Linked DNA regions of Coturnix japonica. Each later gene encodes a partner of the first gene's protein in a complex. Links are inferred from orthologs where the notes say so. Each region holds a gene or a part of one and is shown on either strand. Other genes may lie near its edges.

Evidence for each region. Proteins that work in one complex are often made in the same cells at the same time.
Region 2: ZBTB8OS (region 1) and FAM98B share a complex: the UniProt entries of both Homo sapiens proteins name them as parts of the tRNA-splicing ligase complex. The link is inferred for Coturnix japonica from reciprocal best matches to the Homo sapiens genes ZBTB8OS and FAM98B.

Annotation. Positions count from the first base shown.
Region 1 is NC_029538.1:4,585,713-4,589,713, forward strand, and holds the start of ZBTB8OS (protein archease), read right to left. Parts: upstream 2,801-4,001; 5' UTR 2,721-2,800; intron 1,742-2,720; 5' UTR 1,614-1,741; coding exon 1,526-1,613; intron 693-1,525; coding exon 668-692; intron 265-667; coding exon 143-264; intron 1-142. Other genes in the region: histone-binding protein RBBP4, read left to right, coding at 3,018-3,033, 3,494-3,641. UniProt on the Homo sapiens protein: Component of the tRNA-splicing ligase complex required to facilitate the enzymatic turnover of catalytic subunit RTCB. Together with DDX1, acts by facilitating the guanylylation of RTCB, a key intermediate step in tRNA ligation.
Region 2 is NC_029520.1:25,938,904-25,941,649, forward strand, and holds part of FAM98B (protein FAM98B), read left to right. Parts: intron 1-433; coding exon 434-550; intron 551-1,420; coding exon 1,421-1,588; intron 1,589-1,713; coding exon 1,714-2,079; 3' UTR 2,080-2,746. UniProt on the Homo sapiens protein: Positively stimulates PRMT1-induced protein arginine dimethylated arginine methylation.

The DNA of each region.
Region 1 (4,001 bases):
TACTATAAGATTCAGATCACTGATCCTTAGTTTAATTATAATTAACTACTACAAAACTACATCAGAAGACTCAGAGGATTTTGGTACATTCCACTAATAGGGTTCCCACAGCTCCACTATGAGAAGTCAGTGCAGTTTTTACCTTCTGCTTCTACTTCGACAGTGTCCAGAGGCTCCACAGTCCCTGTATCAGTCATGTACCCAAACATGGCCATGACGCACTGCTCAAAGGCTTCTTCCAAAGTGTCTCCCCATGCGTGCAGCCTAGAGAGACACGGGGTAACTCACTGCTCTGTAACCATAAAACCCCAATGTACTACGCAGGCGAGAAATACGAATGTAAGAACAAATGCAAAGGAGGTCATTGCACAGAAATGCTTGTCTGAGCTTACATGTATGGGGAGATTATGGAGATTTTTCTTCCTACAGGATGTGAGAAGTATTTCTTAGGAGAAAAAGGAAAATTCTTATTTCACCAGACAAGAGGAATGCCCTTTGTAATGTAAATGGGTGTCTATGACGGAGTGCTGCTGAGATGAAACGCGCTGTAAGGGCAGGAGTTGACTAGATTTCCAATAACAGAGGCTTAAGCACCACAAGAATAGTGCATCAGAAATACACTGTGTGGCCCCGTGCACCCCCAGCAGTGGGAGCAGCCCAGACTTACTGCACGTCAGCTGTGTGATCCAGATCTGGGGAGGGAAAGAAAAGAAAGGCACAGCATCAGCAAATAGAACTTCAAAAGAGGATTAGAAGTGTTGGATATCAATGTTATAACAATGACTTAAACTTGAGACATAAAACTGCGTGTCTATTTTCTAGTACCATAGAAACAACAGCACAGATGAAATCTTGGATTATTTCTGCTCAGCAGAAGCCCCCACACGTACAGCACTGTGTGTGGTTACCGTAATGCAACAGGCTCTGCAGGTTAACTGCAGTGAAAGCCTTTAACCAGGCTTAACATCCCAAGTGTGTGTCAAGTTTTACACAAACACCATTTACATTCCTTTAGAGGAACCAGAGAAATGCAAAATAAAGCCATAGTGTTAGAGACAGCCACCCTGGGACATAGAGCACAGTGTGCCCTGCAACTGCTGCAGCTGGAGGTTCATTGTGAGGCTGCTCAGAGCTCACACACATGAACTGCTCCTCAACAACTGTCACTAAAGCAAACAAATTCCAGTGAATATAAGAGAAAACCTTTGCCAATTATGGAAACAACGTTAATGGTTGTAATGTGTCACCGTGCTCCTGCTCCGTCCCTCCAACAGACACACACTCTGCTGTGCCCAAGGCAGCCCTTGTGCTGACAGCCACTTAGAAGGCACTTGGGGCAGAGAAGGAGCTGTGTGCAATAACAGCAATTGCAGTTATCTCCGCTCTATTATCCAACGCCAGATGCATCCCACAGCCTGAACACAGACACTGGCACAGTACGAAACCCCACAAGCACCTAAAGAGCTCCTCCCATTTCCCTCTTACACACACACACACACACACACAGTGTATCAGTGTCACTCACATTCGTACTTCTTGGTGAGCGGTGGGTACTTGGCCTTCACAGCCTTCTGCTCCTCCGTCAGGTTGTAGTCCCGCTCCTCGCCTGCCATCGCTGCGCTCACTTCCTGCTCACACTGAACATGGCCACTGCCACTGCAGGGTGTTGCTGGGCTGGACAGGAGAGCTGCTTCCAGCTGGGGCTCTCAGCAGCAGCCGATGGGGAGCAGCTGCACACAGGCTGTGCATGAAAACAAGATTAGAAGCACAGAGTTCAGTGCTGTGCTGCTCACACTGCCGGCACACAGCAGTGACACCCAGCACCGCACCGACAGCGAGCACTGACAGTGTGCAATGCACCAACAGTGTGCACTGAGAGCATGCACCAACAGTGTGCACTGACAGTGTGCAATGCACCAACAGTGTGCACCGAGAGCATGCACCAACAGTGTGCCCTTCAGCCTCTGCAGGGAGGAACCCTGATCCTTCCGTGTGAATCACCCTCCAGCAATAAAATACTGCATCTACGAGGACATAATTCTACCAGCTCTACAGTAAGTTACACGGGTAACTTTGGCTTTGGAGCTTCACTGCACAGGGTACACAGCCTGCTGTGTGTCATGGCACATGATGGGGCACAGCACATTGTTATGGGGCACAGCACCTTATGGGGCACAGCACGTTATGGGGCACAGCACGTTGTGATGGGGCACAGCATGTCGTTATGGGGCACAGCACATTATTATGGGGCACAGCACATTATTATGGGGCACAGCACATCGTTATGGAGCACTTCAATCCCACCCAGTGGATCCCACCAGTCGGTTCCACACCGACTCTCCCTCGCAAACACATCAGACCGGCTGCAGCGCCCCATTAACTTCAGGGTAATTATTTCCCGACATCCCACGTGAGTCCACCGTGGCTTTTCCCATAGGAGCAGCTCTCACTGCCGGCCATGGGACGATCCCACACGGGATCTCCGGGTTCTGTTCGCAGATCAGCACCGAGACCTGCGAGCTGGGAAACGCTCCTGGGAGGGAATAAGGCCGAAAGAGCACAGGGCTGAGTGTGAACGGAGCCACAAACCGGGAACGGGGCGGGTCACAGAGACCCATTAAGCGACCGGTAACCGGTAGGACAGAGCTCAGGGGCAGCTCGGGGCCGGCTCACGGTGCCATCCTGCAGACCCCCCCCCCCCCCGCGCAGACCGCACTCACCGGGGCACTGTCCCTTTAAGAGCCGCCCACCCGCTCCGTCCGGAAATGGCTCCGCGGAAATGGCCGCCCTCACACGTGACCGCCGAGCGCGCTCTCCTGCCCCTCGTTCCCGCCCCTTGCCTCTCTCCGATTGGCGGAAGCCTCCCGGCGGCGGGCGGGGATTGGTCAGTGTTGGCGCGCGAAGGGGTGCGCGGCGCGGGAGCGGCAGGGAGCGGGGGCAGGAAACAATAGAGCCGCGTCCGGAGCGGAGCCAGCAGCGCCCGCCTCGCGCAGCGCAGCCTCATCCCGCCGCCCACAATGGCGGACAAGGAAGGTAAGGCCCGGCGGCGCGGCCTGGGCGCTGCGGCCTTCACTCGGCTCCGAGAGGCCTCAGGCCTCACTGCCCGCCCCCCCCGCCTCCATCGGCCGGCGCCGTGCGCAGTGATGGCGGGGGGGCTCCGGCAGGGGGCGCTGGGCCGTGCCCTGGGGCGGGGGGCGTCCCGTGCGGCCTGCGGGGCGCTGGGGGAAACAGCAGGGACCGGCCTGTTACAACGGGTTACAACGGGTCGCTACGTTGACACTGCGAGGGGCTGCGGGCGGGGGGGGCGGCGTGTCCCGCAGCAACGTTGGGTGATAAACAGCTGCGTGTGGTGGGGCCCGTTATTGAGTGAGGGCCCCGTTATTGAGTGCTCCATTATTGAGTGCCCCGTTATTGAGTGCCCACCCATCTCTGTGTGTGTTGTGCCTGTCCTGATAAACGCTAACATCCCGCATTGCTTTCATGAACCCTTCAGCAGCCTTTGATGACGCAGTGGAAGAACGTGTGATCAACGAGGAGTATAAGATATGGAAGAAGAACACACCCTTCTTATATGACTTGGTAATGACCCACGCTCTGGAGTGGCCCAGCCTGACTGCGCAGTGGCTCCCCGATGTGACGAGGTGAGGGTGCGTTCTGGATGTACTCCTTGCAGAAGTAAGGCTCCGTGTGACTCCTTGTCTCGTCTGCAAACCCCAGAGACACCTTTAATGTGGGGAAAGTGCTGCTTATCACCAAGAAAATGCTTCACGTCTTTGATTTTGATGCTTTTCTTCTTCCAGCTTCGTTCTCCTTTTTGAAATGCAAAGCCCTCCTCCCCACAGAGAACTAAATATAGTTTCACTTTAAGCACTCTTTCATCCTAATCTTCCACAACATTCTGCTTCCAAAGAGTGTATATGCATCTCCAACTGTGCGCTGGGGAGGCTGTTAGAGTCTCTTAAAGGAAGGCAGGGGAACTGCTGGAGGTATCTGGGGGTAGG
Region 2 (2,746 bases), on another chromosome or scaffold:
GAGGCCGAGGGGAGACCTTATCGCCCTCTTCCAGTACCTGAAAGGTGCTTACAGTGAGAGTGGGGCAGGTCTCTTGTCACTGGTGAGAACTGACAGGAAGAGGGGAAATGGCCTCAAGTTGTGCCATGGCAAGTTTAGGTTGGATATTAGGAAACACTTCTTTTACAGAAGGGGTAGTTAAGTATTGGAATAGGCTCTCCAGGGAGGTGGTTGAGTCGCCGTCCCTGGATGTGTTTAAGAGCCGTTTGGATGTGGTGCTCAGGGTTGTTAGAGTTAGGGTACTATGGTTAGGCTGTGGTTGGACCTAATGATCTTCAAGGTCTTTTCCAACCTAGGTAATTCTATGATTCTGTGCACTTTCATTTGACTTGTATGACTTATACTTGACCTGTATAGAACTGAACATTTGGGTTTTTGTACTGTAACACTACAGGAAAGATTGGAAAAAATCAATGATGCTCTTCGCAGTGAATACGAGTGTCGCCGTCGTATGTTAATGAAGAGGCTAGATGTGACAGTGCAGTCTTTTGGCTGGTCTGACAGAGCAAAGGTGAGCTTGCTGCGTTCTTTGCTTCCTGTAGATGGGAGTCTGCTACAATTCTGCAGGTCTTCTTAGCAAATGTACCTACTATGTAAATACAATTCCATTATTGCTGTCTACTTTTCAAGCAGTTTCTCATTCTGGGTTGTAATATCTGACTGCTAGATGGTGTGGAAGGGGAAGAATTTGTGGCACAGGCCATCTTTTGTGAGCGAGTGTCTGTAGCTCCAAAAATAGAAATTCAAGCATCCTCTGCTGAGGTTTTTCACTCTAAGTCCACACCTCCCTTTTTCTTCCCTATATCCACCTGCCCCCAGTGAAGTGAAGTAAGAGGAATCCTCAACATTTCTCTTAGAAATGCAAGAGGAAGCCAAACACTGGGCCTTAACATAGATAACCTACAAGGTCAGCGAGATAATTGCAATGACTGTAAACTCATTTTCCCCTCAGTTTTTTTGTAGAACACTTGTTTAGAACTTCTCCAAAAAAGCTTTTGGGATGCAAAATGTTTTGGTATTGATGGTTTTTTTAAGCCAGCAAGCAAGTTATTTTCCATTTTTAATTCGGTTACTCTCTTGCCTTCCTCCCTTACAGCAGGGAGTCTAAATTTTAGTCTTAGATATCTTGTAAAGCATCAAAGAAAGTTTGCTGTCAGTGGATAGAAGAATCTCTTTTAACTGTGCTGAGTCTTAGCAGCATATTTTGTACGTCACCATATGAAGAGAATTGGTGACAGCTGGCACCACGTTTTGTAAGGTAACCCAGTTTTACAGACATTACAACCACTGCAACTTACTGAGACCTGTACAGTGTGTTTTACAGCCTACATACAGTAAGTGTGTTTATGTCTAGTAAGTTATGTTTGATTTTTATCATTAGGTAAAAACGGATGACATAGCACGAATCTATCAGCCCAAGCGCTATGCATTGTCTCCAAAGTCAACAGTAACATTAGCTCACCTTCTTGCCGCTCGAGAGGATTTATCAAAGATCATAAGAACAAGTAGTGGATCAACAAGAGAAAATACAGTTTGCGCAATCAACAAGGTAGCTTTTCTTTCTGGGATATGATAAAAGGAAAGATGGGTGACATGCAGACAGCATGTCTTTGTCTGTAAGAGAATTAGCCTCTGTCCTTTCAAGTTATTATATCCCTTTATTTTTCAATATAGGTTCTGATGGGGAGAGTACCTGACCGTGGAGGCAGACCAACAGAGATTGAACCACCTCCTCCTGAAATGCCTCCGTGGCAAAAAAGACAGGAGGGTGGTGGAAGAGGTGGCTGGGGAGGTGGAGGTGGTGGAGGGAGGGGCGGCTGGGGTGGTGGAGGGGGTAGAGGAGGTGGTGGGGGTGGCTTTGGGGGTGGGGGTGGGGGTGGCTTTGGAGGTGGGGGTGGGGGTTTCAGGGGCGGTGGAAGAGGTGGAGGTGGTTTCCAAGGCGGCAGGGGGGACTATGGTGGCAGGGGTGGTTATGGTGGCAGAGGGGGTTATGGAGATCCGTATGGTGGAAGAGGAGGTGGAGGTTATCGGAGATACTGAAAGAGTAGTAAACAAAATATAGTGGTGGTGTTTACTGGTATCAGGAATTTAGATAATGGTACCTTTGGTTTAGATTAGATTTAAGTATGACCACGTGAATCATTGCATTCGACCAATGTTGTCACTGAATTCTTTTAGTTAACTAAGCAGAACATTTATACTAAAATATCATGATTAGAGTCTTCGCTTTTTGTACTGGTTGTGTTTTGTTGTTTTTTTTTTAATTATGTTCATTTATTTAAAATAAGCCTCAGAAAACAGAATAAAAACCTTTTTAAAGAAACAGAATAAAAATGACGTTCAGGCTTCTCTAATTATTCATTGTTGCATGTGAATTCTCCTGCTCCAAAAGCTGGATACAAAAAAAAAAAAGAACTAAAAAATCAGACCTAAGAACTTGAGGGAGACACTTCTGAAAGTCCGGACTGCTGCTCTTGTGCTTTTTTCCTTATCCAGTTTTTACATGGGACATATTGGAGAACTTCAGTTTCAAGTTGTCACTTAAGGCTTTGGTCAGAGTTATTCAGGGAGCTTTCCTTTTCTTTCAGAACTTGACATAAAAGTAACATCCTGAATTACTTCTCTATTGATACTAGTAAAATTAGGTGGCTTTGTGTGTTTGTAAATACATCGGAAATTAACCGAAGGTCAGAGCATGGACCACAAA